4 linked regions of the Rhinolophus ferrumequinum genome follow. The protein of the gene in region 4 interacts with the protein of the main gene of each other region in a pairwise test. Links are inferred from orthologs where the notes say so. Each region holds a gene or a part of one and is shown on either strand. Other genes may lie near its edges. The genes, in order: TXLNA, PKN1, TCHP and CDR2.

Region 1 (8,016 bases), on a different chromosome or scaffold from region 4:
CAGTCAAGGGCTTTCTGGTAGATTTCTGAATGCTGTTACAGGGATGCAGGGGCTGCCAGCCTGCTATAGGGAATAGCCTGATAAGATGTTTTTGAATCTTCATATGTTGGCACAGGGCTAGTATATCCATTTTAAGATCTGTGGTGGGAGTGGAGGTATCTAGGTGTGGATTAAGGGGACAAGGAGCCTTTTTCTTAGCTAAAGTGTTCAACTACTGTTTTAAACAGTGCCAGCTATTCTTTTTTGCCAGTCTCTCTGGGCATCTCATCCCTAAATCATCTCCTTCAATACTAACAGGGTCTCTGGTCTTAGAAGCCTGCCTTCATTTCTGAGCTCTCCCCAGTGATTGCCTGGCCTTGGTGTTGGCTGCACCTTCTGGTAGAACCACATGGGTACCACCCTCAGCTGGCTATCCTGGATACTTGGGGCATTGGGTACAAATGATCCTTTCAAGAAGCAGGTATTGATGACCTCAGCTTTCAGGGACCCTTGATGGTCCCCCTTAGCTAGGACCTTTAGATCTACTCCTTCTACTCTCTTTGCGCTGGAAGCCACTTTCCAGGAGCCCAATTTTTGGAGCTGAACTGCACAGATTGTAGCTCCTATTATACTTAGTCAGGGAGAGCAAAAGAAGGCGCTCAGGCACAGACTTTATTTCTTTCAAGCCAAACCAGCTTAAAATGAAAACCGTCTACAGAATGAAATGGATTTCCATTTTCTTGTGTCTACCTGCTTCCCCCCCTGTATCCTAGAGTTACTCCTGTTTCTAGCAAACTAGTAAGGGAAGGGCATAAATGCCTAGCAATACTTCCCTCATTCCATATAACCCCCTTTGAATGCCTCAGCTCGTATGTTCAGGCCACATCTCTTCTCCTCAAGACTCAACTTGGTATCCATCATCTTGGGTGTTCCTCTGTAGATTCATCTTGTAGGCTCAGATTCTGGATTCTCCAGGTCCCTATAGGCACTACAGGGACCCGGAGGGAAAGCAGGCTGGCTGGGGGCCTCAGGAATGTGTGTTACTGTCTGCCTCCCTGGCAGTCTGGGAAAGGGTGCAAGGCTCAGTGCACTGAACCATAGGAAATGCTCATAAGCAATGGCAACATCTTCCAGGTAGGACTATCCTAGAAGTGAGTGTGAGACTGAGAAATCGCTCAGAGTTAGGTTTCTTCCACAGCCGTTTTAGGATTCTAGACCAATCTTGTTCAGTATTTTTTCTGTGTCTTAACTTTTGGATTCTTTTGTTAAGCCAACAAGCTGAGAACTAGCTGCTCTTTGGCCAAGGCCTTTATAAATGATTCAGTCATCCGGTTGTCTACCCCCCAACCCCACCTCCAGATTAAGACCATAGCACGGGAAGAATTTGAGGTCAGTACCAACCAAGTCTGTGAATTAAAGCTGTTACTTTTCCTCAGAGGGCATTTTGCATCATGCCTGGGCTATTTACAGAACCAAAACTAGGTATGAGAGAAGAGGCAGCATTAAATTTGGGGCCCAGAACACCCCAAGACAAAGGTTTGTGTAGTGTGTTATAAAGGTCTTCAGTGAGTTTGGGCCTACCTCGCTACTTCTGGGCCAGCCTGACTGATGTCCATATTAGCACATACCTGAACCCCTCAGCTAAATGCTAGCCCTGCTCCCACGTGTAGGTCAGATTTTCAGCCCCTGGGTTTGGGAAAAGCAAATCCTGCCATGCCCTGGGGGCAGTGAAGGAAGTCAAAGGTCATATCCGGAGACTGGCTGGGAACCTCTGACTCAGAATGGCCTTAAAGAGTCCACCTCTCTGAGAACCCTCAAGCCTTGTAGTTGGGTATGGGCTCTTTTAGCCCACTTTTGGGGGAATTGCCTTTGACTGAACCACTAAAGCAAAGGGGATAGGAGGTCCCAGCCACCCAATACAAACCAGATGTCCCTCAAAAATAGCTTGGGTTTCCAGCTACCGATCTTAGGAAGGTGAATCAAACCAATTTTCCTCACTGGTTTTTCTTTGCAGTTCATTTGCTCTTAGTTTTCCAAGAACTATAAACTCTGACTATTTTCCAAGTTCTCAGGGCCCCTGGGTAGACAGACAAAGCTTGATTTCAGAGCAGACATAGGCCAAGAAACCGAGGCATTGAGTGTGCTGAGTCCAGACAAATGATATTTATATACACATCCAAATTTGAAGAGAAAATGTTATTTCTTTAGGTTTCAAACACTGTAATAGATATAAAGCAAAAATAAAAACCTGTTGCAAAGTTCTAAAGCGTCGTCTCTGGAATGATCCTAGACTGGACTTTTCGGAAGTGAACAAAGAAAGTGTTTAAACTTGGGGCCTAACAGTGGAATGAGGAATTGCAACAGCCTGCTCCTGCTATAAAGACATCTTTAAAAATCACCTTTATTGAAATACAATGACATACAGTAAATGGCACATATTTAAAATGTGCAGTTTGGTAAGTTTTGACATATACCCATGAAATCATCACAATTAAGATAGTGAACATATCCATCTAGAAGTTTCTGCATGCCCCTTAGGAATTTCTCCTCCTCACCCAACCCCCAGCAACTACTGATCTGAGTTCTGTTTAGTTTGTATTTTCTAGAGTTTTTTCTAAAGGATTTGACATCATTTCATCACCACTCCACAGCCCTTTGAGCCCTTGAAGGTCATACAGCTCACAGACTACTCACTTTGGTTTAGGTCAATTCCTAAAGCAGAGATTACAGACAAGCAGCCAAAAAGCTGACTCAACATAAAAGGAGGATTTTGGTTGGCAGACAGTGTGTTTTAAGTATTAATTCACTGCCAACATTTTAAGAAATAAAGATATATCCTGAAAAATATCTGGCACTACTGGGCTTGAGTTTCTGCTTGAAAACAATCTGTAAGAGGTCTGTTTTACCATCATCACCACCATTCCCAATGGTGTCCCTGACTAGTTGACTGGCAGGTGCTAATACTGTTGCTATTTTATAGCAAAAGTAGAAATTGACTTTTTAACCCATGTTTATCAAATTGTTACTGCTTGCCTGCCTGCTCCACTCTTTACCCAGCTGGCCCCTGTAGGGCCACTGTTGATCCTTCTTGTTACACTACCCCTCCAAGCGTACCTTGTTCTTGCTTATTACGTTCTTTATCTCTGCCTAGAACACCTTCCTATGGAAATCCATCAAGGCTTGATTTGTATGTTACCTCAACAGATTTCCAACATGCTTTTCTGGAAATAAATCAGGCCTTGGTTTCGTGAGACTTGGATTCCAAACTTTTCTGGCCTTGAGTTTCACCATTATACCAAATTGCCTCTCAATGTTACCTGGTAAAAGGTGAATTTGTGCTGCCTAAGGAAAGGGGGAAGAGCACTACTCTGGTATCTCTAATTGGGAAAAATACTTAACATCTTAAGAGCCCTAAAACAATGCTGAGTTTGCACAATTAAAACATTCTCTTCCCTCACCCCCAAAACCCTAGGCTTTAGGATGAGAGAATTTAGCCAACAGTCAGAGGTTCATTGATTTGTAAGCAAATAATTTCAACACTTTACTAATGCTGTAATAGAACTCTAACCAGTAATAAGGAGCTAGGACAGGCTGCAGAGCATAGGGCAGGCTCTAAAGAGACCTTTGAGCTGGGCCTCAAAAGATTTTGTTTTTGCCATAAGGGCATTTTGGAAGCTGGAATAGCACCTGCAAAATCCTGGGAAATGCAGGCAATAGTGAAAGTATTTCTAGAGCAAAAAACAGGCAGAGGGAATGGGCAGGATTGTCTGGAAACAAGCCAAACTATGTAGGCATTAAATCCCAAGCACATGGGTTGTTGGTTTTTATTCCATTATCTATAGGCAATTCGATAAAGAATTGGGATCTCGCATTTGAAAAATTTGGCTTGTTTCCCCTTTAGCTCCAGTGCAACAGAGACTCTGTAGAGAGTAGGCCAGTGATAAAAAGGGCTCAGGAATCTGCTAAGGCTAAACTTGCCCTTGCAGGGCCCCCTCAGCCCCTGCCCAAGAGGGGCTCATGCTGGTAATGAAGAGGGGAAAAAAATACAACCCACTTTAACAAGTTGCCTTGACTTATCCTCAGAGAAAGTGTGTCATGATGGTTATTTCTTCTGGGTAAGAGGCCGGGTAGGTCCAGTAGTTAAGATGGGTGCTGGTGCCAGACTTCCTGCTCTAACCACTGTTAGCAGCTGTAAAATGGAAATAAGACATAGTACTTACCTTGATGAGTACTTAGGATCAAGATAGTAGATACAGCAGTGGCCAGTTAGCTCAGTTTGTTAGAGCGCAATGCTCTTAATGACAAGGTTTCAGGTTCGATCCCCACATGGGCCACTAACCTGCGCCCTCCACAACTAGACTGAAAGAACTACTTGACTTGGAGCTGATGGGTCCTGGAAAAACACACTTAAAATAAATTTTAAAAGTTTAAAAAAAATGTAGATACCGGGAAAGCACACCTTAAGCGTTCAAAGAACTGCTGTTGTTATTAAAAGCTTCTATTTGAACGTGGAAATCGAGGTTCTGGGAGAGAAAAGAATGTCCCGCAAATCAGTGATGAAGTTAGGACTGCAATACAGGTCTCCAGGTTCCCAGCCCAGAATTCTGGCGGGAAGGGTTGGAGGCGTGCAAGAAACAACAGCCAGGAGTAAACCTTTCGGAGCTGAATCATAGCTTCTGCGCGACAGAAAGGAGATTGACGTGGGTACGTATACAGAATGACTGGCTCCTTTCGAACCTGAGTATCCGGCTCCTAGGACTAAAGCCCTTTATATTGCATCTTGGGAGTTGGAGTCAGCCCTGCTGCATAAAGGGACTTGTAGTCCTTTCCCTCCCCCGCTTTCCCAACTCACCCGCCTCAGGGGCCCCTTCGCTATATCTTTCCCAGCAAGCCTCGCGAGAGTGCCGGCTATTGATTGGCTGCGGCGAGCAGGCAGCTCTGCCGGCAGCGGTTACCCAGGGTTTCCGGTGTGAGGCCAGAGCGGGCGAAGCTGTGCGGACGGCGTTGGGGTGGGTACCGCGGCGCCTAGCGGGACCAGGCGATCAGCGGGTCTGTAGACCTGGGCGCTTTCGGCCAGTGAGGGGAATCACACAGACTCCGCGCGAGGGCGAGGGCCGGGGAACAGCTAAGGCCTGTGCGCATGCGCCGGCGGGCGGTTCGCGCGCGGCCGGAGAGCGCGCGGGGTGTGGGTGGCTGTGCGCGCGCGGAGCCGGGAGGAGGGGGGTGCCCACGTGGGGCCTAGGGCGCAGAGGAGGGAACCGGAATCGAGCGTCCCGCCACGTCAGTCTGCGGCGGGGAGCCTATCCCGCGCTCCGCCTGTGGTGAGGTGGACGCGTTGTGCCGGGAAGAGGCTTCAAGAAAAAGGAGGCCTCCCCTGGAGCAGCTCCTCAAAAACCTGCCAGGGCACCCCAGGCTCCCCTGACTGGCCAGAGACAGGGAGAACCGTTGACTCCCTCTGGTGAACGCCAGCCAGTTTGTTTATAGGAAGCTTTGTGCACCCGGTGTTGGGATTTCTGATCCAGGCTGAGAAGAATTTTGAAGTCTGGAAAATAGCAAGTGTCTTGTTTTATAGGATCTGCTCCTCACCTAGCATTGCGAGCCACAATGAAGAATCAAGACAAAAAGAACGGGGCTGCCAAGCCAGCAGGCAGCACTTCCAACCCAAAAAGCAACCCAGGGCAAGCGGAAGCCGGACCAGAGGGAGCCCCGGGGCTGCCCAGCCAGGCAGCCTGTGCAACAGAAACTGAAGGTGCCACCAGCCAGACTCCAGGGAAGACGGAGGGTGTGTGCCAGCTCTCGGTTTCCAGCGGGGAGGGAGAGGAGTTTGTGGTGCGGCCAGTGTAGCTGCTGGAGTTAGAGGCCACTGTTGACTCAGAAAGAAGGAAGTGGAATGAGGGGACCACAGTGCTGAGTCTCTGGGATCCCCAGTGTCCTGGGGAGTTGGGAGAGCCTTCCACTCTTAAGCGCAGACACAGAACTCTTTCGAGGCGGCTCTGACAGGATTAAATCGGGTGGCAAGCAGATGAAACACCCAGCCAGCACATCCAGATTAGAAACACCTCATTCACCAGTGGGTAACTGCTTTCTATACTTGAGGCATTTCTGGAAGGTTTTTAGTAGCAAGAAGTGACTTTTTCGGGGAAGAGAAGATGACCTAGACATTGAGCTCCTGCTACATGCCATCTGCATGTGCTGAATGTTTTACTTGGTTTCTTTTATACTCGTAACAGACATGGTTGGGTGGTAGTGAGAAGTAGTCATATCATTTTATAGGTAAATAAACTGCGGCTTAAAGAAGTTAGGCAACATTTCACCCAAACCAGTAAGTTTGGGCCTGAAAAACGCAACCAGTGGTGTAACCATCTTATTTCTCACTCAGCCCCTTCATCCTCTGCTGCTTTAGGAGTACAAGCCAAAACCTCTCCGTCTGGGGCCCTCCGTGATGTCTCTGAGGAGCTGAGCCGCCAGTTGGAGGACATCCTGAGTACATACTGTGTGGACAACAATCAGGGGGGCCCAGGTGAGAATGGGGCACAGGGTGAGCCTGCTGAACCCGAAGATGCAGACAAGTCCCGCACCTATGCCTCGAGGAATGGGGAGCCTGAGCCAGAGACCCCAGTAGTCAATGGTGAGAAGGAGACCTGCAAGGGAGAGCCAGGCACAGACGAGATCCGGGCAAGTGATGAGGTTGGAGACCGAGACCACCGAAGGCCACAAGAAAAGAAGAAAGCCAAGGGTCTGGGTGAGCAGAGGGAAGCTACTCGTGATGCTGTTGAGGGGAGGGAGTTTGGACCCGAGATTCCCTGGGCTAGCCTACTCTGCTAGGATGCAGAGGAAACTACTTCCCAGGGCTTAATCAGTGCCAGGGCTGTAGGGCCATAGCATAGAGGTGTGCAGGTGGTTCACTGCACAAGGGCTTCTGGCCTTGGGAGCAAGTGGGAACCGAAATTCAATCTGCTGGGTGGACTCCTGTGCCAGCCAGCCAGCCTGCACGGTTTCTAACCTGTTGTGTTGGGCAAGGCCTTTCTCCTCTCCAGTCCTTTGTTGTCACAGTAGAGAATTGGGCTAGACCAGGGTTGAAAACACAAACAAGCCAAGTTAGTCAGGGGCCTCGTGAGGACGAAGAGAGTGCCTCCTTCATCCAAAGGGTTGACTGTCACCTGGTCCCAGCAAGTTGATAGCATGTAAAACTACAGCCTAATTCTAGCCAGAGTCCCAGCCCCCTTTTTTTTAAGCTAGAAATCTAGAATTACACGCAACTAATATGCTAGGAATCAAACAAAACCCATCTGTGGGTTGGATTTGGCCTGTGTGCTAGTGATTTGCAGTCTCCACATTGGTCTCTTGGAGCCTCCTAGGGCTGCCACTTCAGAAGCCTGGTGCTGTGCTATGTACGGTGGCTCTCTAGGGAGGCAAGGAAGATTCTGACTCAGGCACAGGCAGTGCAGGAGAGTCTTGGCTGAAGGTGGGAATGGGGGCGGCTAGTGTGTGTTAAAAAATCAAAGTCCGGTGGTATTATACCCTTAGCCCCTACTCCCGTATCCCCTAACTGTCATCCTAACTTAAACAAGGTTATTTTGTTTGTTTTTAATCTTAGGATCAAATATCGGGAGGTACATTCATTTTAAAGTTCACTGTTTTGCTACCTCTGTTGGTGAGAGTTTAGTAGTCCTCAAGGAAACCTTTTCCTTTTTGCATCCTTCCTCTATCAGAAGGGCCCTCTTTGCATTGAAACAGTAACACTGAATTCACAGGTGGCCACCTTTTTCTCACCTGTTGGAAGAGCAGGCAGTTTTGCGTTTTTTGTTTCTCCCACTCCTGGTGCTCACCAAGGAGATTCCACAGAGATTCAACCATTTATTTAATAAGTATTTGTTGAGCGTGTCCTCCGTGCTGGGCACCAGAGCAAGTACTGGGCCACAATAATAGGCAGAACTGAGTTGGTCCCAGCCCTCATGAAGCACACAGATTAGCAGGGAAGGCAGCCAGTTCAACAGACAGAAATATAAAGTGTGATAGGGGAGGGCTGCCTCAAGG
Region 2 (7,399 bases), on a different chromosome or scaffold from region 4:
CCTAGGGTGCCAGGCTGGGTTAGGGACCTCCCTGAGACCCACACCATGACCCACAGCACTGGAGACCAGCAAACTAGCAGCCCTCTAAAGCTCAAGTATGACTAGTAATAACAGCAGTTACTCCAAACTGCATCCAGGTCAACTAATTAAGTCCACGAGGCGAGTGCTATTATCACCCCATTTTCAAGATGAGGAAACTGAGGCCCAGAACAGTGTCATAACTTGCCCCAAGGTCCTACAGCCAGCAAGAAGCAGAACCAGGATTTAAACAGGAGTGCCCAGAATCCAAGTGCAGGCTAGGTTGTCAGGCCCTCTCCTCAAATTGCAAGAACCCATTTCACAGATGAAGTAAGTCTTCCTTGCTCCTGACCAACCTTGAGGGCAGCTGCCCCCAGGGAGGGTTTACTGCAGGCCAAGGGCCTCACCTCCCCCAATCCTACCAACCCCTTACTTTAATGTTGAGCAGTTGCCATTATTCTCCCCTACTTTACAGGTGAGGAAACTGAGACTCAGAGAGGAAAAATAAGCAATTTTCAACACCTGCTCACCTCTGGGGACATTTGGCAAGATAAAGAAATATTTTTTGTTGTCACAACTGGGGGTGGGGAGGGGGTGCTATTGGCATCTAGTGGGTTGAGACCAGGGATGCTGCTCAAAAATCTACAGTGCACAGGACAGTCCCCACCTCAAAGAATGATTCAGCCCTGAATGTCAATAGTGTGGAGAAACCCTGGGTTGAAGGACACAAACTCACACCCTAGGCTGCTGACCATGACCACCAGTAAAGATTTCATGGCAGTCCTGCCTGCAGAGCACTTGCCGGGTCTACATCCTCACGACCATGAACACCCTCTTAGTCCCATTTTTTTGCTGTCAGAACTGAGGCTCAGAGAGGCAAAGGCACCGGGCCCAGGACACACAGTGAGGAAGTGACAGCGCTAGAATTTAAACCCAGGGTCTTCTAATACTACTCGCTCCCAACCAGGCCCTGCCCACTGCCCAGGCCCACCCCGTCCCCAGCAGGCAGAGCAGGGGTGTACAGCCAGGAGCAGGGCCAGCTCAAATGGGGGTCCAGGCAGAGAGGAGGAGCAGGCGCCTTCGGCTGCATCTCTAGCAGCTGAGGCCTGAGAATATGCCGAACACAGGATGGAGGGAAGCCTGGCCTCCTGGGTTTTCCTCCCTGGAGTGACTCACTCCTACCCAGGGGGCAGAGGTCACCAGTGGGCCAGCAGGATGAACCTATGAATCAGAGGCCTGGTCCAGCCTTGGAGAATCCCTGCTCCCCGCCACCTCTCACTGTGGAGCAGGAGACCCAGGTTCAGAGGGCCCACCTCCCAGAAACCCCCGTTTCCAAGTGCAGCCAGGGATCTAGACCCCCATGTCCGGAGATTTCAATGCTTTGGGCGTTTCCGGAATCTGGACAGGACATCCGCTTGCCGGACACAGAACAGACAGGCACACGTTGGGACAGAGGGACAGAGTGGCAAGCCCAAGCAGCCACAAGAAAGGAATAACCAGGACGGGAGAAGGGAGGGAAGAGGGTAAGAGATAGGAAGGAAAACCAGGGCACAGGTCCAGCCTCGTTCCAGGAATCACAGCCTCCATCAGGGTCAGGTCTGGTACATACCAAGCACATGCATGCACTGGGGGATTCCTACAAAGCCCTCCCATGACTGGGGGGAGAGAAAGGAACCCTGGCCCTCCCCAGCCCCAAGGTCTGACCTTGTGTGATCTGCAACACCAGATACGCCCAGCTCCTCGGCAAGGCTGGCAGGCCATCAGCAGGACTGGGGTGGGGTACAGGGGGACATGGGGGAGACAGAGGGGATGGAGAGCAGGTGCAGAAGGAGATGAGATCCCGGTTACACAGCACCACAGGACAATGGAGGGATAGTGAGGTACTAAGTGGGCACAGGACAGGTATCAGATTTGGGTCACTGAACCAAAGGTCAGAAGTCACCCTAGCCCTGCTTGTCATAGCCAGGGGAGATGAGTTTAGGACTGTAATGTCCACAAGGTGGCACAGGGAGAATCTGGCTGGGCGGCAGGTTTGCACCAGTCACCTGTACCTGTGTATGTGTATGTGTATGGGGGAGAAGGGGCTGACCCCGCGTGCCACCCATGCCCAGGTAGGATTCCAGGGCCGAGAGAATCCCCAGCCTATTGACCCAGACACTCCCCAACTGGGATCGGGTTCCACCTGACAGCCCGGAGGGTGGCCGTGTGGATCCCCCGTCCCCAGACCTAATGAGGTGACTCGGGCATTTCCGCCAACAGGTGCCAATCTGGGTGGCGTCGACCCTCATAAAGCTCAGTCTGGAGGCGGGGACCGCTGGAGCTTTGTTGTGCGGGGGAAGGGCACGGGCCGGGCGGCCTCCTCGCCTCCTGAGGCACCGTGCCAGGCACCTGCACCAGGTGGAACGGCACCTGCCGGGAACCGAACGCTGAGGGGGGGGCGAGTGTCGGGGGCAACAGGCACCGGGACGCACAACCAGCCTCAGAGACCCGAAGTCGCGCCTCCGCTGCGTCCCCCCGAATTGTCGGGGAGGGGCGGAGCTTCATGGTGCTCGGGGGATTCCGGGACCTCCCCGCTCCCCACCGTGAGTACCTCCACCTGCCGAGAAGTGGGCCGTGCTGGGGCTCCACGGTGCCGGCCCCGGGAAGGAGTACAGGGCGCTCCGGAGGCCCCCCCCCCGCCCTGGCGTCTGGGGACCCCAGAAGCGCGCGGGCGGGGTTCCCCGGTGACGGGCGGCCATGGAGCTTTGCGGACGCAGGTGCACCTACCTGCACAGCGTCGCTGGCCATGTCCTCTCGCCACCCGCCAGGGGTCCCCGCGCGGAGGGAGGGGCGGCTGGAGGAGCGCGCGTGCGCCCCGTGTGGGGCGTGGAGGGAGGGAAGGGGGCGGGCACGGCGAGACCCAGGCCCGGCGTGCGGGCCGCTCCGGCCTGCTAGGCTCCGACCCTGCCTGGCCTGGCCGCCGCGCCCGCGCGCCTCGCCCTCCGGCCCCAGCGGCCGCCGGGCCCGTCACGTGACCGCCGAGGTCGGCGCCCGGGGAGGGGGCGGGGCCAAGGGGCGGGTCTCCCAGCGGCCCCCGGGGCTGCGGGGTCCCGCCTGCCGGGCGGCCCCTCTCCGCAGCCACCAGTACCTCGTTTGCTCCCCGCGCCCTTCTGGATCCGCACTCTGTACAGAGGTACCCCAATTGAGAGCGCGGGAACCCGAAAAGAGTGAGCCCGGTTAAAGCAGGGAGTAGCGGAGGCATTTGGGCCTCCTGGGACCCCTCAAAAACCAATTTCTCTCTCTGTATTTGGAAACTCAGGCCCTCTAGACCCATTCGGCCTACGGGACCCGGGTTAAAGGGCACGGGAACTTCCCCATTGCCTATAGACAAGCTCTGGGTAGATCTGGGTTCAAATCCCAGCGCCTCATGCCTTGGGGGGAGCCCCAAACCCCTAAGAGCGCCTCGTCTATGAAACAGAATTTACCTGCTCACCCCTCAAGTGTTGATAAAATAAGATACTGCAGACCTAGTGCTCGATACGGTAAGCGCTCGATCAGTGTTAGCTGTCATTTTTATTATTGCCGTTATGAAAAGGAGGTTGAATAGCAACTCCATCACTGACTCGCTGTGGGCCACATGGATCCTGTGGCTGCTGAGCCTCAGTTTTCCTCGCTGTAAAATGGGGATCAGCCTCTTCTTTGGGCTGCTGTATGCAAATAGTGCTCCATAAATGCAGACTCCTGCTCCATAAATGCGGAGGCAGAGGGTGGAGGCCTCTCAAGGGTCTCCGAGAGTCTCTGGAGTGTGCAGCTTGGCTCGTGGCCCACCTCAAGACTCCCTTTCAAGCGGGTGACTGGACCAAACCGCAGTCCCTGGGGCGCGGGGCGGGAAGCGCTCCCTTGCGGCGTTGCCTGCACTCTGGCGCCCTCCTGGGATCCACCAAAGTGCAGGGAGCTGCGGGTTCCTTGGTGTCTCATGGCTGTGCGTGGTTTGCGTTGTCCCAGAGACCAGGGCACGATGTTTTCTCTTTCCCTTTTTCCTTTGTGCGACTCTTGGTGGAGGGGGTTAACAGAGAAATAAAGAGAAGGAGAAGGAGAAATTATACCAATCCAGAATCTGCCCATTTCTCTCCCCTCCCAAGGCCCCCACGGGATCCAATTGCAGTCTTCCTTCACCTGGACCAGTGCAGTCGCCTCCTCCCAAGTCTTTCAGCTCTGCCTTCAGCCTCATAGTCTGTTTTCCCCCACAACAGGCCAAGTGCCCCTGTGAACACCTGTGTCAACTCACATCCCTCCTCTGCCTAGAATCCTCTATGGCTCACACCTTCAGAGTAAAAGCCAAAGTCCTAAGCACGACCCCCTTCAACTTTCCCCTCTCCTCCCACCTCCCACTTACTTGCTCACTTCCTCCAGCCACATTGGCCTCCTGGCTGTTCCTTGAATATTTATAGATTCAATGAAATAACCCTTTTGACAGAGTTCTTTTGCTCCAAATTTACAGGTGAGGAAACTGAGGCTCAAAGAAAATACCCTAATCCCAGTTATGGAGCCAGGATGTTTATGGCCCTTGCCCTGAGGAATAGGGTGTCTTCCTCTAATTCTAGCCTTACCCATTTTACAGATGGGAGGATGTGGCAGAGTAAGGATCTGAGCCAGCCCAAGACTGGGCCACCCAGTCCAGGGATGGGCCCTCTGCTGCCTGCCAGGTTCCAGGCTGCCTTCCCGGATGGAGCTGGGGACACCTGCCAAATTCTCACTCCAACCTTCCGGCATTCGTTTACTCAGCGACTATTTATCAATGCCCGCTGGGGACATTGGTGGCACTGGAAACAGAGTCACCCTCCAGGCTTGAAACTTGGAGACGAAGGACTAATTGTACAATTTCAACCAGATATGATAACTGCAGCTGCTCTGGCTCCTCTCCAATCTGCTCTGGGGCCTTGGAAACCCTAAATCATACCCCGTCTCCTACCTCTACCTGCTGGAAAACCTGTTCCCAGCTGGCTGGAGCTCTTAGGAAAAACTTCCGAACCCTCACCTGGGCTACAAGGTGGTCCTGTCAGCTCTCTGCCTACCTGTCCAGCCACATCCCCACCACACCCCTCACCAACACACCGCCATTCAGCAACACTGGCCTTCTCTCTCTTCCCCAAATATTCTTACCTTCCAAACTCAGGGCCTTTGCACTGGCTGTTCCCTGGTTTGGAATGCCCTTCCATCACATCCTCAAGGCTGGCCTTTCTTTATCATTTAGATTTCTGTTTAAATGTCCCCTCCTCTGAGAACTTCCCAGAATACCTCCATGCCCTGTCATATCTGGCTCGTGGCCCTGTTTTATTTATTTTAAATGTAACTTTCTGAAATTGCCCAGTGTCTGGCCTATGCTCGTTCAGTCTTTGTGGAATGAGTGAGTGGACACAGTGTAAGATGTCAGGAGAAAGGTATTCCAGGCCTGTGGTGGCTTTGAGGAGGCAGCCACCCTACTGTGGAGGAGGCAGAAAGGATGGCAATGAAGTTAAGTTGTGAAAGACAAATTGGGAATTTTCAAAGTGGGTAAAGAGGAAAAGGGCGTCTGGTGGAAGGAACAGCAGAAGCAAAGGCCTAGAGGTGAGGGAGAACCTGGCATGTCCTGATTCCTCTGCCCTCATCACCCCTCACTCACTCCTCTCTGGCCTCACAGCCTCTTCACTGCTCCTCAAACATGCTTATTCCTGCCTCAAGGCCTTTATGCTGGCCATTTCTGCAATACTTCTCCTCATCTTGGCATTCTCTTCCTCCGTTCATTTCTATGTTTACTCAAATGTCTTCCCTGACTGCATCTCCACCTAAAACAAGCCCTACCCTCCCTACCAAACGCTACCCCTGGCATAACTTGATTTTTGTTGCAAATTTGACTCTAGTATTTTCTTTCTGATTTGTCTTGACCAGGAAGGTGTCAGCTCCCAGAGGCTAGGGATCATTATCTGTCTTGTTTACTGCTGGGTCTCTGGCTCCTAGTACAGAAAAGATGCTCAATAAAGAGCGGCTGGATGAACAAATGGGTGAATAAACCTGGCATCATAGGGCATGGCTAGGGTTTCTGGTGCTGATGAACCTGGAATGGAGGGCAGGCTCCAGATGTTGCAGATGGTGGATATGGAGTTCAGACTTGACCCTGAGAACTGTGGGAGCCACTGATAGATTCTTAGCAGGGGAGAAACTGAAAGAGGATTGTTTTTCCAAACATAAAGCTCTTTGCAAACCAAGTCTCCACCAGTAGGGGCCAAAGAAAGAAATGGGAGTAGATTTATCTGACACCAGAACTAAATGTGTCAACAGAGTCAAAAACACCTCCTTGAGTAGGATAAAAAAGCAAGTAGAAAAAATGATACAGTTTGAAACTGTTGATATCAATTACTAAAAAAAAAACACAGAATGTGAAACTATCAAGTCTGTGGTAATGTATGGAGTAGTGTGATTGTAGTGTGCCTGGCATCCCGGCTGAGGAGGGTCAGGCTACCTGGGTTCAAATCCTGGCACTACCACACACTAACAGTGAGACCCAGACCCAGTTACTTCACTGCTCTGTGCCTCAGTTTCTTCATCTGTAAAAGGGGATGATAATAGCAGCACCTACCGTGTTTCCCTGAAAATAAGACCTAGCCGGACCATCAGCTTTACTGCGTCTTTTGGAGCAAAAATTATTTTATAAAATAAGACTGGGTCTTATATTAATTTTTGCTCCAAAAGACGCAGAAGAGCTGATGGTCTGGCTAGGTCTTATTTTCGGGGAAACACGATGCCTCAGACGGTTGCTGAGAAGCTTAAATGAATTCTTATAAATCACAGAATTGGGGTGCTGTCATTGTTCAATCTCATTTTTATTGAGGATGTTTATGCGATTTGGGAGGGGAATGGAGTTGGGGAGGTGAACACAGGTGATTTCCACTTTAACTATAATGTGTTATGTCTTTTATTTTAATTATTATTTTGATTGAGGTACAGTTTACCTATGGTAAAGTACACAGATATTTTGGTGTGAGGCTCCGTGAATTTTTATATACGAGCAATACACCCGTGGCCATGACCTAGTCTACTCCCCAGCTACGTAAATTTTACTTGTGTCCTTTCTCAGGCTACCTTGTCCTTTGGATTCTACCATATCACCATAGATTAATTTTGCCTCTTCTTGAATTTCACACTGCATGGAATCATTTTATGATTTTATGTCTGGATTTTTCATGTCTGGATTCTTTCAACATGTTTTGTCTTCTATTGAAATAAAATTCACATACCATATAAATCACTCTTCTTAAGTGTGCCATCTAGTGATTTTTAGTAATTCACAATGAACATGATGTTTTTGAGATTTGTCCATCATGTCGTGTATATCATTAGCTTATTCCTTTTTATTTCTAGTGGT
Region 3 (8,015 bases), on a different chromosome or scaffold from region 4:
TTAACGCTGTTAATAACAAACTGGTACTGTTATCCTTATTGTACAGATGAGAAAACTGAAGCTCAGATATGAAATAATTTGGAGCTAAACGGAGGTTCCTTTCTTCATATCAGGCTGGCCTTGAAAGATAATATGAATACCAAAAAAAGTTAGTGCCATTCCATCAGATAAATATATTCCAGCAGTTGGAAGCAGGCTGAGCTACATGAGGACTCTGAATGGAAGGTTCTAGAACAGAATTCCATTGTCCAGCTTCCTCTGTATATAGAAGCAGGCCTGTCAGAATAAGGTCTGAAGAGCTCACCTGATTTACAGAAGAGGCTCCAATGAAGGTGCAGTGGGAGGTCCCAGCCACACACTGGAAGAGGGCCGGCTTACCTGTACAAGTTTCTTTCAAGGTGATGACCTCCACATTGGGACAGATGAGGTGAGTGCCATAGGCCAGGAGTGCTTGGAGGGATGCCACAGCGTCCAGGTGGAAAAAAACAAAAACAAATAAAACCGAATGACAAGAACTAAAAGTTAATCACGACGAAGGGCATGTCCCCCTTTTCTCCAGTGGTAGATAAAACAGTGACCTCCAAAGATGTCGGCCTCCTAATCCCAGAACCTGTGAATATATTACCTGACATGGTAAAAGGGGTTTTGCAGATGTGATTAAGGTTAAAAACCCAGAGATGGAGATGTTAACCTGAGTTATCCAGTTGGGTGCATGAATCCTTAAAAGTGGAGAAGCTTTCCCCATCTGTGGTCCAAGCAGATGTGACTAACTAAGGAAGAACGGTCAGAGGGAGCCTCAAAAAGCCCCAAAGGCAAAGAAACCGATTCTCCAGAGAGTCTCCAGAAAGGAATGCAGCCCTGCTGACACCTTGGACTGAACCCCTTGAGACCCAAGTCAGGTTTCTGTCCTACAGAAGTACATAATGTACACAGGGTGTTCTTAATGGGAAATTGGTGCAAAGTATATGGGACCTCTCTGTACTACCTTTGCAATTTTTTCTTTGAATGTAAAGCGAGTCTAAAATAAAACATTAATTTAAAAATACAGATGCCCAGGCCCCATCCCTGACCAATTAAATCAGAACCTCTATCTTGGGGACCAAGCATCAGGATGTTTTAGAAGCCCTCTAGGTGATTCAGACCTGCAGCCAGGCTTGAGAGCCACGCATGCATTGAAGGCACCTGGCAAAGTATAAAACCTGATGGAAATGCAGGTTGTGATGATTGATCAACAAGGCACTATTTTTCTTTTTAATGACACAAGTAACAGTGACCATCGCAAAATTAAAACCCGAGAGAGAGATAAAAATTAAAATCTCCCCTAATCCTGCCCCTTAGTAATAGCCACTATTTTGGTGACTGCCTTTTCACACTTGTTTCTCATGGAATACCTACATTTCTTATAATTCCTGATATTATTACTATGAAAACACAAAATTGGAGCTCTGAGAGGCAGCCCCATACCCCCAGGGTCTTTGAACTCGTCTGTCTACTTCTGCATTCTTTGTCTTCGGGGAGGGTAGGAGCCCCACCCAGGGGAGAAGGCTGGTGTTGAAACGCTATGTAAACCCAGCAGAGATGAATGCACCTTGGTGATGCCACCTGCTAATTAAGTGAGGGCATTGCACAGCCTCCGGTGCTGTCACATTTCAGTTAATGGGGAGTTGCTCCGTGTTATCATGCCATCTCCCCATTCCTGTTTTCTCCTCCCACACTAGGACACCCAAAGATACAAGTCCAAAAACAGACCCTCATAAATGTGTGCGGGCCCAGGGCCCAGTGTGCACAGCGTCCACCTGGATGGTTTCCTGCCAGTGCTTCCTCCCTCAGCCCCCTGTGGGCCTTTGTCATCAACCTGTCACTAAATATTTAATCTTGCTGAACTCTTTATATGTCCCATCTGGTCCACGTCTAGGGGCCTCTTTTAAGAGCTACACCTGCAAGCCACACGCTCCTGGAAAAGCAGAGAGAGGAGAGAGTCACAAGCTCCGGAGGATGGGTGTGAATCCTGCTCTTGTAGTCCTTGCTGTGTGACCTCAAGAGAGTCGCTTGACCTCCCAGTGTCTCAGTTTCCTCATCTGCAAAATGGAGGCAGAAATCTCCACAGGGCGGAGGGAGCGTTGGCACGTGGTCAGTAGTCAAACAATGTTAGTTCCTTGTTGTCATTCTTTTTTATTTCTTTCAATACCATCTCTTCCTTTTTCTTTTGGAGAAGGAGGAGAGGGACTCAAAGGTGGAGGAATCTACTCATTCATTCTCAACAAATATTTATTGAGTGCCTACTCTGTGGCAGGCGCTGGGACAACAGCAGGGAAGGTAATGATCCCTTATGCTGCCGAGAGGGCCCAGCCCTCAGATGAGACCTGGGTTTAAATCTTGGCTCTGCCACCTACAAGTTGTGGTTCCTTGGGCAGGTGATACCACCCATCCGAGGCTCGGTTTAAGCAACTCGGAAATGGGGACAATAAAATATCTCACAGCGTTCCTGAGAGGAACAAAGGAAAAGATACCTGTAAAGATGATTGACGACTCTCTTCCAGTCCCAGGGGCTTCGGCAGCAGCCGCGCGCTTCAGTGCAGACATGGCCAAGTCCAAGAACCACACCAAGTACAACCAGTCCCGAGAATGGCACAGAAGCAGCATTAAGAAACCCTGATCACAAAGATACGAATCTCTGAAGGGGTGGGCTCCAAGTTCCTGAGGAACATGCGCTTTGCCAGAAAGCACAACAAGAAGGGCCTGAAGAAGACGCAGACCACCAACACCAAGGCCGTGAGTGCACTGGCTGAGGCTTCAAGGCCCTCGTAAAGCCCGACGAGGTCAAGCCCAAGATCCCAAAGGGCGGCAGCCGCAAGCTCAGTCGACTTGCCTACATCGCCCACCCCATGCTTGGGAACCGTGCTTGTGCCTGCATCGCCAAGGGTCTTGGGCTCTGACGGCCAAAATCCAAGGCCAAGGTTCAAACCAAGGCCCCCGGCCGTGGCTGCAGCTGCAGCTCCACCTCCAGCTCAGGCTCCGGCTCCCAAAGGTACCCAGGCTCCCATGAAGACTGCAGAGTAGAAGCGTCTGACTGCTGATATGAGGACGAAAGGACTGGTGGGACCCCTGCGCTGCTGTCTGCATGGGGCTGGTGTCCTCCTGTGCTATTTGTACAAATAAACCTGAAGCAGGATCTGTAAAAAAAAAAAAAAACCACACACACAACAACAACAAGATGCTTGATGAGCTACAGGCAGCTGTGTAATCATAAGGTGAGAAGTTGAACAGTGGGGGGCCAGTAATGATGGCCATCCAGCAGAAGAGGCTCAGAGGCTATGGCCTGCAGCCTTGGGCTTCTAGGACCAGGCCAGTCAAGCCCTAGGCACTTGACTCCCACCAGTGGAGCATGTTTGGTCCTTTAAGGCCATTATACAGATTAAGAAACTGAGGCCCAGAGAGGAGAAGGGCATCACGCAAGAGTTGCAAAATCAGGACCTGAAGCCAGGTCTCTCCTGACCCAATTCACATATTTCTGAAGTTCCTACCACACTTGGGGAATCCCACCAATGATTATTTATGTATTGGGCTCTCTTGGTGGGTGGGCAGCTCTGCCTGGGCTGATCCCAGGGGAGGGGTGGCTGCCTCCCCTGCCCATTGGGGACACAATATGAAAAAGTGGAGGTGAGTTTAGCCAAAGGGGTAGGGACCATTAGGAGGGTAACTCTGGGGAGTCTCATGCACTCAGGGCAGACCCTGAGAAAACATGTGCCACGTAAAGGGAGATGGGAAAGAAAGTGCGCTTACCTGAGATGCACCAGGTGCTCTGCTTCTGGGCGCTCGCTCTCCATTTAAACCTTCATTTCCTCTCACAAGGGCAACCCTAGAAAGCAACACTGTTGGTACCTTGTTAAAAAGTAAACTGAGGCACATAAACATTTTCAAGAGTTTATTTGAGCATACATCAATTCAACCTGGGCAACACCCAAAGGTGGTTAGGAGCTAGAGGAGAGGTGTTTATAGAGAAGAAGAAACAGGAAAAAAGCAAGGACATTATTTGATTGGCTTGTTTAAGCAGTTGCCTTATTTGGGAAAGCTTATTTGGCTGGTTGTGATTGGTTGTTCTTAAATTTAATTTTCTTGGATTCGAGAGCACGGATTCTGGCTTTGCTTTTAGTTTGCCTGCATAAGCAACAGAGGCATTAGAGCCACCGCCATCGAATGGTCCCCTTGTTTAATTAATTTAGCATTCTTATTTCACAAATGAGGATGCTGAGAAATGACATGACCTACACAAGACCTCTATACAACTACTGTGGTAGAGGTTGAACAGAGGCCAGCCATGACGTTCAACAGGATACTATACTGCATTCAGGAAAAACAGAGAAAGGGAAAGAAAAAATGAAGAGAAGAATGGGAAAGTGAAAGAAAAGAGAATGAATGAAAGAGTGGACATTTTTCATTATCTTTTTAATGGAATAGTTGAGACATAAAATAATACATGTAACACATGTGAGTCATAAAATATACTGATAGAATGAACACGAACCTACAACCCATCTAACACAGTAGGAAGTTACCAGTAATTTGTACCTACTTACACCAGGGGTTCTTGCAGTTGGTTGCACATTGAACACTCCTGGGGAGCTTAGGCAACCACTAATGCTCTCAGAGAGACTGACGCGATTTGCTTCGAGTTTGGGCTGGGCTTCTGGACTTTTTTTAAGGCATCTGGATTTTTAAGTCCTCCCCAGGTGATTCTAACGTGCAGCCAGGTTTGAGAACCACTGGCTTATATTCTCCTCCCCTCCTGTATCCCCCTGACTCCCTCCATCCTTATGTTTATCCACCCCAGATGACCACCATCCTGAATTTTGTGTAGTGAATGGCTTCTTCTTCCTTCATCCTTCGCTTCCAGGACAAGCGATATTTGCGATTTACCTCCCGCCCACCACGAGGGGGCGCCAGAGAAAAAAAAGCAGCTTCCTTTCTGTGCCATCGGGGTCGCGCTGGAGTCGGCTTGGCCCTGGCGGCGTTCCGTCGCCGTCCTGTCGCTCGGGCGACGAGCAGGGAAACGGCGGGCTTGGGTTAGCGCGGCCCGGGAGGGTGGCCGCGGGACAAGCGGGCTTGGTTGTGGCATGCGGGAGCTCGGGCCGGGCGCTCTGCGGACTTCGGGGCGTAGAGAAACGTGAGTCGGAGCTGAGGCTGAGCCGGGGGCCGGTCTTCCTGTCTTCCCTCTGCCTCACCGCGCTCTGAGTCCCGTCTCTTTCCTCTGTGACCCCTCGTCCTGTGTGGATGTTGAGGCCGCGAGAGGGATACGACTTGTTCAGGGAGCAGCCCAGCTTGCTTGTGGCCGATCCGGGACCGGAATCTTAAATTTCTTAACTCCTGGTGCAAAGATTTCTCCACGGGCAGCTTGCAGGGCAAGGAAAAAAGCATGTCAAGCCTTCCAGCCTCAAGACAGATTATAAAGAGGCCAGCCGCAGACTAAACTTGGCTCACAGACGCAGATTATTTCCCCCAGGTCTGGATGACTCTGAATTTGAGATTGGCCTGGACCCAGGTCTTCTGCTTATTCAACAGACGTTCCTTAAGCACTGTCATAGCCTGGCACTGGGTAGACCCTAAACACGGGGGCGGGAGGGGGCAGCTTTTGGGTCGGGGAAAAGAAGTCCGGAGTGAGACCACTCTGCTTTCAAGTCTCCAGTTGTGTCCCCAGATTGCTATGTGACCTGGGAAAATCAACTCCTCTCTGGGTCACAGTTTCTCCGTATGTAAGATGAGGGATCTGCCCTTCATGCCAACCCAGAACACTTCCAGGTGTGACACCAGGACTAGGTCCCTCCCTGGGGGCGGCCAAAGCCAGGGAATGCCTCTTGCAATCATCAGAGCTTGGACCCTGCGTGGTTTAGGATCCCCCCTTTCTTATTTCCTCTACTTCCTGGTTTTGTGGTCTTGGGCAAGTCACATTACCTCTTTGAACTTAAGTTTCCTCCCCTGCCAAATAATGGAGTGATTGTAATAAAAAAGGTCATATATATCAAGAGCTTGGTACATATGTTCCTTAAATTATTATCCGTTACTTTATGCAGAGCATACAAACCCCCAATGTGCCTGGTCTCCATTGCTAGGACTGGTTCTGTCTGTCTGTCTGCAGTGCCCTTGATGACGTACGACACACAGCCAGGTGCAGTCCAGGCTTATTTAAAACCGATGATTTGCAGCCCTGATGGCAAATCATTAAAACAGGGCTGATGTCTGGGGCCTACGTTCAGACTTGCTGGATTTCATTGGTTTGGAGTGGGGCCGAGGTTCCGTCAGGTGATTCCAGTGTGTAGCCCAGGGGTGAGGACTTCTTCCTAAAGGGGGGAGGCCAAGCTTGTGAGGGGTCCTGGGGTGGCAGCCGGCTCATTTTCCTACCATTGCCGTTCTCAGATGGCACTGCCCACGCTGCCCTCCTACTGGTGCAGCCGGAGGCTCCTGGACCAGCAGGTAGCACGACAGCGGCACCAAGAGCAGCAGGCGCGGCTTCGGCAGCAGTGGGATGAGAACAGCCGCTACTTCAGGATGTCTGACATCTGCAGCTCCAAACAGGCAGAATGGAGCTCCAAGACGTCCTACCAGCGGAGGTAACGGTGCGGTGCGGGGGCCGCGACTGCATGGGAGCAGGCAGCCGCTTGCCGCTCAGGGAATGTGGCCTTAAGGACCTGGGGGAGTCTGGCTTGACAGCATGTTTTCTCGAAGGAGTTGCTGGACAGCATGGATTGCCTGTCTGGTGATGCTTTTCTAACTGGAAATTGAAAAACTGAGCACCAGTGCAGTACTCCATTTGCACTGAAAAAGAAAATGATCAGAAATGTATATAGAATCTGGAAATCTTGTAACCCCACGTCCCCAGAGGGAACCACAGTTACCAGCCTGATGCATATCCTCCCACACTTTTTCTCATTTGTGTTTGTGTATAAACAGACGCACACACACACACCCATTTTTATAAAAAGATGTGTAAAAATATGGGAGTTAAAAGCAGAGGCTTTGGAGTCAGACAGACCTAGATGGAAATTCTGTGTCACTTGCCGCATGAATGAGCCTCAGTTTCCTCATCAGTAAAGTGGGGCTGAAACAGAACCTACTTTGTAGGATTTACGTGATGATTCATATAAAACCATTCATGGTTTTAGTTGGTACAAATAATATTCTCTAGTACATGATCACTATAAGCGATTATACGTTTTCTTATTGCAAAAGCAAGGTTCTGTTATGCATGGTGTTCTGTGACCTGCTCTGTTCCCTTTGGCTGGAAGACCTTTTCCTGTGTCACTATGTTATATTATACCCACCTCAGCCTCTTTACCCACACAGCAGAGCAGACTGGTCCATATGACTGTCGTGTGACTGATTTATGGTGGGCTCCTTCTCACCCAGCATGCATGCCTACCAGCGTGAGAAGATGAAGGAGGAGAAGAGGAAGCATCTGGAGGCCAGACGGGAGAAACTCCAGCAGCTTCTGCTGGAGGAGCAGGACCTGCTGGCCAGAGAACTGGAGGAGCTAAGGCTGAGCATGAACTTGCGGGAAAGAAGAATCCGGGAACGGCACGGGAATCTCAAGTCAGCCCGGGAAGAGCAAAGGAAACTGGTAAGTTCTCATCGCCCTTAGGAGCGTTCCCCAGCCTGTCAGTGACACACACATGTGGGTCACCCCGGAACGCTCTGGTCTGATGAGACAGCAGTTAACTGCAAAACCAGCTGGGAAAACTGCTTAGTCTGAAGTCATTCTTCACGTGTGTGTTTTGCAGGAGTCATCTTTATTCTCTGTGGCCCTTTAAATCATTACAGCCAAGTCCTTTTTCTTTAGCCCAGGACTGCTATATTTTATCTTCCAGAGTGGTGGTGTGGAATGGCGAACCCCAGTCTGTGTTTTTAAGCCTGCTGTACATTGTGAAATAGATCTGTAGCATCCGATTTTGCCCCGTTTCTGTCACCATTGTAAGCGTCATTTGTCAGTGCCATCCGGTCCCACGCAGGTGTCTGGCTCCCAG
Region 4 (7,440 bases):
CGTAATCTTTTTGCTGGTGGAGAGTCTTGCCTTCCATTTAAAAACAAAAAACCACCACCAAAAATAAGCCCACCACCTCTAAGGCGCAATAGAACAAAGCAAATGCACTAAAATGAGGCATATGCCTGTGAGGATGTTAAAAATGAACAGATGTCTGTCTGCACTTGATAAAATCCCACTAATTTGCTTATCGAAATATTTAAGAGGGCAGACCTGCTGCTCCCAAACTTTATTCAGCAACAAATATCTATTGAGGGCCTACCATGTGCCAGGCAGAGGTGGGCACAGACCAGGAGGCAGCGTCTCTAGGCCTCTCTCGTCAACAGATTCCTAGACCCTCCATTTCACTTTGCTGTGGGATCCTGCCTGTCCTATCTGTGGGTAGGGACTGTGGCCCCAGGGCCTGGATCTGTACCTGGCATAGAGTTGGTAAGTATTTGAGAAATTAACAAATTTTAAAATCCGTTAGAAGTTTAGGAGTTCTTTAAGACACAATTTAACAAAATTGGGACAAAGATCATCCTTTTATTCACACTGTATCCTTCTTTCTTTTACAGGCCTTATTCACAAGTTATGATTGTTGGAATTTCCTGTCTATTCCTACCCAACACACTTGGTTATGACATAGAGCGTTATGTCTAAGTCCATCGTGATATGGATGGAAAAGTCCTTTGAGAAGAAGCACAGAACAAATTCCAAATGCAAACTGTTTGTGTGGAATTTCCAGTCTATTCCTACCCGACACACTTGGTTATGACATAGAGAGTTATGTCAAAGTCCATCGTGATACGGACGTAAAAGTCCTTTGAGAAGAAACACAGAACAAATTCCAAACGCAAACTGGCATTAAGGAGGTTTGGACCCGTGTTCGTTAAGATCTCATTGAAGTTGAACACCTGATGACTTCCTTTTGCCCAGAGGTTAGTAACCCCAACAAGTTGCATTTGCTTCTCAGTAGATTGAAACATTACAAATGAATCTTCCTAACAACTTCCCACAGGGCAAATGCCTTGTGGACTGAGGGACCTGATAGAAGAGAGCAATGAAAACAGTAACCCTCTGCGAGTGCTTCAGTTCAGGTCAACAAATATTAAAATCAAGCTTCTGTTATGTGCCAAGGATTCCACCAGATTCAAAAACAAAACAAGCCTGTACAGATCTATGTTTCTTAAATGCAGGAAAGAAAAATATTTAGCTATGACCATACGAACTGCTTAATTTGTTATAAGGAAATGTTGCAGTTGTACAGTGGTTCTCACATTAATCCTAGAGAAAATATCAAACTGAAAACAGGCTTGTTAAAATGTAAGACAAATGTGTCTTGTGGACATGGAAAATGTGATGGCAAATACTGCACTGCAGCTGCTAAGTAGCTTACACCATTTAAGCAAGCGTAATGGTGAACTACTTTGGTTTAAGTGACTGTCCACACAGCATGTTGATTTAAGAAATCACCTTCCCCCAAAAGATGTACTTGTTTTATTTCCCTTTTCTAAATATGAGTAATTCAAGTTTACATTCCTTCCCGCCCCCCCAGTTCAATGGTTAGCATGAACAAACATCATGGTCATTTAATATTCAACTAGATGAAATGTTAATTGTCACTGCAAGTGGAGAGTTGAAAACGTCGATGTACACAGAATTGCAGAAACGGAAGATGCCTGAAAAAAAAATTCCTGAGGATTCTTCAGAATAGTGGTTAAGAAAGTTTGCTCTGGAGTTTGAAGTGGGATCCTAGCTCCAATAACAGTATCTTCCTTTCTACCTCCATAGTTGTTGAGATTAAATGAGCAGCTGTGTTAAAGGGCCTGTCAGTGGCCCCCAAAAAGCGCTCCCCAATTTCAAGCTCCTGCTACTCATGTGCAGTAAAGGGGGGCCTTATAGGGAGGCTGCAAAGTGAGGACTGTCCAACGATTTTCTCTAGAGACACCATCAATCAGCAAGAAATCCAAGGCAGGTTCAGATAGGAGTGCCTGTTTCTAAGGGAAGGAAGGGGTCGAGGTAGAAATGCCCTTCAGTCATTTCAGGGCCTCAGGTGAAGGATGCAGAAGCAATTTTTCCGCCCAACAGTCGAACACCCAACTGAAGAAGCTGTAAAGCGGCTGGTAACGAAAAGCCAGGGTTTGGGTAGCGGCTGTGGTTCCTCCTTCTGAGTGTGTGGGTTCAAACACGCTCCCACTCCTAACGCAAGGGAAGTCACTTGGCCGCTCTGGCCTCCGTTTTCCTCCTCCGGAAAGTGGGGTTAACAAAAGCTACCTCGCGCAGAGCTATTGTGCGGATCACAGGTGGGCCCAGGGCTGGGCACGGGTCCTGCCGGAGCGCTCTGCTCCCCCGGCCACCTGCAGCAACTCCCACCCGCGCCGCGGAGCAATGCGGGGAGGACTCCCTGCAGCCCGTGCGGGCGCAGAGCTAGCCCTCCGCACGCGTGATGCTGCCGATACCTGCGCAGCAGCCTCGGCCCGCGCCGAGCCCGCCTCCGGGGCGGGACGCGCAGGTGCGGCGGGTCCCCACGCCAGGTGGACGCCGCGCTTCGCCCGCACCTGGCATCCGTGGGCCACGAGCACAAGCAACTTTTTAAGAGGTTCGCCGCCGGAAGCCTCCGGGGCCTGGCCGCCCGCCGGCCGCCCGCGCTCTCACCTTGCTGGAGGTCCCGATTGTCGTACCACGGCTCTTCCTCCACCTCGAACTCCTCCACCACGCTTTCCGCCAGCATCTCGGCCGGCTCTCCCGGGGGCAGCGGCGCCCGCTGCCGCCGTCCCGCCTCGGCCGCTGCCCCGGGCTCCCCGCCGGTTCCTCCGTCCTCAGCCAGAGCCGCCCTCGGGCGGGACGCGCCGCCACGCCGCCGGTCCAGAGCCGCCCGAGCACCGCCGCTGCCGCGGACCGGCTTTCTGACTCGCGTCCTGAGGCCCAACGGCCCCGATGGCCGGCAACCCGGCGCGAGCACCCCGGCCGGCGCCCGGAGCCGGCTCCTCGCGCAGCAGCGGCACCCAACGTGGCACTTTGGCAGCAAGCTCCCCGACGGGGGCTGCATTCAAACCCCGGGCGGCGCCTCCGCCAATCGCGAGCGGGTCGCCGGCCGAGGAGCAGCGACGTCGCCCAATGGCGTCTTCCCGCAGGCCCGCGGTTCGCCCGGTCTCGTGGGCAAGCAGCCAATGGCCACTCCGGAGGAAACAAAGAAGGCGGGGAAAAGGGAAGGGGTGCGGCCGGAGGCCCCGCCCTCTCCTGCGTTGGGTGGCTTCTGGGAGCGCGCTCCAGTGCCGGGGTGTGGAGGTGGCGGCCTCCGCGGCGCCTGTGGTGGGTGTGTGGCCGCGGGGACAGCCAGCCCGTGGTCAGGTTGTGTGGGCGTGAGGGTGGGAGTCCGGCCTGCGGGCCTGGGCTGGTGTCGCTGGGCGTCCCTCGTGCAGGCCGGGGCGCGAAGGGTGCCGGGAGCCCGAGGCGCGCGGCCCTGTGACCCTTTCTGGTCTTTGGACCCCCCGGGGCCCTCTCGTTGATGCGCGGAAATTAAGGGTTGGTCGGGCCGTGGGGACCGCCAGCCGTTTTCTCCTTGACCTCTGCGCCCTTCTCACCTCCAACCCGCAGGGAATTGCACTCAACTCCCCCAAAACAGCGGGCTCCAGACCCACTGGGGAACTTGCGAGCGGGAAGGGGTGCAGTTGAAGCTATCTCCTTAGAAACACATTGCGAGCAGTTTTGCGTGCGAGTTTTGAAATGTCCATGGACCACCAGTTATGCCTCTAGGGTCATGACCTTGTACCTGGAGGGAAGCGAATGCAGTCCTCTCTCTCAGAGTAGAATGCCAGCCAACAAATGTGGGAGGAATATAAAAAAGAAAAAGGAATGGTAAACTCACAAATTCTTTTCTGCTGAATGCTGGTGTACTGAAAGGCAAAATGTTAGTCATCCACGTTTTATTGCTGGGCTAAAAACGAAGATAGCTTGGTTCAGTGTAAAGCCCCAATGGCCTGCTTGTCCATATCCTGATACAGGTATCGGTCCCGAGTCAAAAGGAAATAACTTCAAACCGTCTTAATTTCAAAGTAAATCACCACAGACAGAGCTTTTTGGAAAGCGAGGATATTGGATTTAGGATTTGCTGATGGTGATTTGCGGAAGCTGAAAGGTTGAGCGTCATGCATTTGACCTTCAGGAGACTTGGCTTCCCTGGTCACTGATGCGCAAGATTGAAAATGCTGGCATTTTTCTCCATGGCACATAGCTCATTTGGACTCCAAATCAAATGGGAAAGTGTACTGAAACGTTCTTTTATATTTTCCTTCAGAGAGAGTGATCTGGAGAATTAAAGTCATTGATAATTTAAAAGGGCACAGAATAAAAAGCCAGGCTTTATGCCTTTCGGTATTAGTGGGTTCTTTTTTTTTTTTTAATTAAAGTTTATTGGGGTGACAATTGTTAGTAAAGTTACATAGATTTCAGGTGTACAATTCTGTATTACATCATCTATAAATCCCATTTTGTGTTCACCACGCAGTCAGTTCTCCTTCCATCACCATATATTTGAAGTGGGTTCTTTTTAAGGACACTATTTGGGGAAACTTGAGGTTTTTTCCCCTGGAAAAAAAACAAAATTGCATCGAAAAAGAGATGTTAGCTTTCAGTGCTGAAAGCCTTACCTTGGAGGAGTCTCTGGCATTCTTTTAGAATCTAAGTAGGCATAGTTTGGAAGTTATCAAAGCAGGTTCTTTAGCAACATTAATAGCATTTGGTTTAGTAGTAGGCCAGTGAAGAACAACCCAAGTTGATTCTAAAAGGAGGCTTTGGGCTTTTGTTTAACAATTCACTGGCTCAGCCTAATCGTGACACCATTTGGGTACTTTTAAACTCCTCTGTATAAAACAGTTTGTGGTAAAAAGGAACCAGAAGTCCTTCGTTCCGAGTTGTAAAGATGTAATATTCTGGTTCTTGGGTGTTTTGTTGCTATACTAAAATTGTGTAAGGAGAGACTTTAGATAATAGTGGTGGCTTTTAAAGAAATTTTAAGTGGTGATTTTCAGTGTGACACTTACTGAAATAAGTATTTACTATGATGACAGTAATCTAAAGCAAAATACTGAGAGCTCTTTTGCAGATAGAAATAAGGAAAAGTTCGCTTCCTCCTCTCAATATACAGAGGATGCCAAAAAAATGTATATACATTTTAAGAAAACTATTAAAATTATAATATATACCGATAACAAAAGAATACAAGTCACGTTTGACTTCTGCAATTGCAAGAGGTGCTCAAAGTGGTTCCCATCAGCGTCCAGACACTTCTGATGACAGCAAACTACTGCTTGAACCACGTTGACCAGTGTCCACATTTATACATTTTTTTGGCATCCCCGGTATGTAAACAAATGTTTTCTTAATGTTTTAAAAACCTTATATTCATATGTTTCAGACAGGATGCCTGCTTAACTCAAATTCTTTTTGAAAAATTTGCTCTCAACTCAGCAAACTTCTGACCTTTTGCAAAATTCTGACTTTATAAATAGCTGCCTTCTGACTTAATGGTAGAGCAATTCAGAAGGCGTGGCACATGCTTCTTGTTTTAACACGCCTGAAATAAAGGAAAAGAAGTGTCCAGATTTTGGTGGGCTAAATGTGTATCTTGGCTTCTGGTGTTTCTGACTCCCTTGTTTTGAGCTCTCTTAGTAACCCAGTGACCTCTAGCCTCAATCTGCATCTCACGTATGCCAAAAATGACTCTTGAGGGTGAGGGTTTCACCAGTAGTTCCCCGCGTTTTCAAATTTGAGAATTGTTGGCTGCCTTCCACACGATAATACTTCTATTTTTCAAGTGCTTTGAGCATAATGACAAAAAAAGCCACAAACATTCAGATTTGTATTCCCTCATTACAGCAGTATCTGCAAACATTATAAGAATCCAAGTACACATGGGCAAAACATTCTGTGTTCAGTCTGCAGACAATACTTGGTCTGCATAGGGGTTTAGCAACCCCTTTTACAATTCTAGGGCCCCACTTCCTATAGAATTGGAATCATTCTTGGATCCTCCCAATGCAAAATGAAGCTCAGGGACTTAATTTGATCTCTCATGTGCCCTTCCTTCCCTAAGAAATTGGGCAATACAGACGGCAGTGTCAGCTTAATTCTCAAGCATCATTTAGGCAAGTTACGTCTCTCAAGGTAGCTGAATATTTGTGTTTTCTGATTCAGTGAGATTGTGGAGACCTGGCCGAATATTCCAGTACGGCCGGATAAAACAGGAAAATCATGGCGTTATCTTAAAACTATCATCAAGATTAAAAGGAAGATGAATCTATACCTACCTCTAGCTTGGCTAACCCTTTCCTGTTTTCCACTGTGGTAAATCAAGTCACTGAAAGGGTAAGACAGTAGGCCAGATTTAAGAGGGACGTTTACATCAAGTGAGGATCAAAATGGGTTTTTTCTACGTCCATTTTAGGTATGTCCCTTGGGCCAAAGTTACATAGTCTGTCAGGAGAAAAAAAAGACTGACTCTTCCAATGCAAGTATGTAATACTATAATACTAACAGGAGGGGTTTGCTTCAATTCCTTCTCTTTGGCTTTAGCTAAAGGATGTCACCTCATTGTTCTTTTTTCTAGCGCACTCTCCCAGGTAGGGAGGGTAATAATGCCATAAGTGCATCTCCCTGGCCTCGAGTTAAGCGTGCCCAAACTCTTGGATAAATCTCATGTTTATAAGTTAGAAGAAATAGTAAAAATATATTCACGTACGGTCATACTCTATGAAATTAGAGTTCCCGGCAACATCTCAAAAAGTGTTGAGTGAGTAGATAGGAAAGTAAAGTGTTAAATCATTACATATTCACAGCGAGGAGATTTGGACTCATTTAACTAAAATTAACTAGTGTCCAGTGGAATTTTGCCACCCATCGCATGGAAACAGTGAATTTTAACCATTTTCCTTTTTTTTTTTTTTTTTAAACAAAAGGAAGAAGAATTCCTCTGCATGGAAAATGCCACTTTTAAGTACCAATCCCATTCTTGGGCATATTCTACAATAACATTAGGGACTAAAATGCTAAATTCTGTCTTCCGCTTCTACTGCGTGGAGCGTTTTCTGCATCTGTACAAGATTTCAGAAGTGGCTTTTCACCACGCCCAGTGGGGTGAGCCCTTACCTGTCCTTTCACCTGAGACAGTGTTTCTCTCTTTCACAGTTGTGCATTGTTGTGATTTTCCCAAGAGCCGATTCTTCACACAGCTGAAGAATTAAGTGTTAAGAAAAGGTTAGCCACGTCCAAGATCCTCTGTGGGAGGGCAAGGAGATTTGTAAGAGATTGCCACTTAACGCATAAAAGCTTTAGAGTTTAAAGGCTAAGCTTGGTGATTCGGGAAATTCACTTACGTGGAACAAGCAGCCTCATTATTAAGATATTCTGTGTCTCGGGAAATCCCGTGGTATTCACAAACTATCACTCAGTTCATGGCCT

The links.
Region 1: the proteins of CDR2 (region 4) and TXLNA interact in binary tests that used the Homo sapiens proteins (3 or more experiments, as listed by UniProt). The two-hybrid records come from large-scale screens. The link is inferred for Rhinolophus ferrumequinum from reciprocal best matches to the Homo sapiens genes CDR2 and TXLNA.
Region 2: the proteins of CDR2 (region 4) and PKN1 interact in binary tests that used the Homo sapiens proteins (3 or more experiments, as listed by UniProt). The link is inferred for Rhinolophus ferrumequinum from reciprocal best matches to the Homo sapiens genes CDR2 and PKN1.
Region 3: the proteins of CDR2 (region 4) and TCHP interact in binary tests that used the Homo sapiens proteins (3 or more experiments, as listed by UniProt). The two-hybrid records come from large-scale screens. The link is inferred for Rhinolophus ferrumequinum from reciprocal best matches to the Homo sapiens genes CDR2 and TCHP.

Annotation. Positions count from the first base shown.
Region 1 is NC_046292.1:22,081,860-22,089,875, forward strand, and holds the start of TXLNA (alpha-taxilin), read left to right. Parts: upstream 1-5,010; 5' UTR 5,011-5,028; intron 5,029-5,255; exon of another isoform or gene 5,256-5,551; 5' UTR 5,552-5,583; coding exon 5,584-5,761; intron 5,762-6,358; coding exon 6,359-6,721; intron 6,722-8,016. UniProt on the Homo sapiens protein: May be involved in intracellular vesicle traffic and potentially in calcium-dependent exocytosis in neuroendocrine cells.
Region 2 is NC_046301.1:47,690,821-47,698,219, forward strand, and holds the start of PKN1 (serine/threonine-protein kinase N1), read right to left. Parts: upstream 3,014-7,399; 5' UTR 2,806-3,013; coding exon of another isoform or gene 2,785-2,805; intron 1,788-2,784; 5' UTR 1,780-1,787; coding exon 1,723-1,779; intron 1-1,722. UniProt on the Homo sapiens protein: PKC-related serine/threonine-protein kinase involved in various processes such as regulation of the intermediate filaments of the actin cytoskeleton, cell migration, tumor cell invasion and transcription regulation.
Region 3 is NC_046308.1:13,785,024-13,793,038, reverse strand, and holds the start of TCHP (trichoplein keratin filament-binding protein), read left to right. Parts: upstream 1-5,004; 5' UTR 5,005-5,164; intron 5,165-6,411; coding exon 6,412-6,605; intron 6,606-7,401; coding exon 7,402-7,612; intron 7,613-8,015. UniProt on the Homo sapiens protein: Tumor suppressor which has the ability to inhibit cell growth and be pro-apoptotic during cell stress. Inhibits cell growth in bladder and prostate cancer cells by a down-regulation of HSPB1 by inhibiting its phosphorylation.
Region 4 is NW_022680357.1:16,828,303-16,835,742, forward strand, and holds the start of CDR2 (cerebellar degeneration-related protein 2), read right to left. Parts: upstream 3,017-7,440; 5' UTR 2,714-3,016; coding exon 2,638-2,713; intron 921-2,637; exon of another isoform or gene 558-920; intron 430-557; exon of another isoform or gene 259-429; intron 1-258.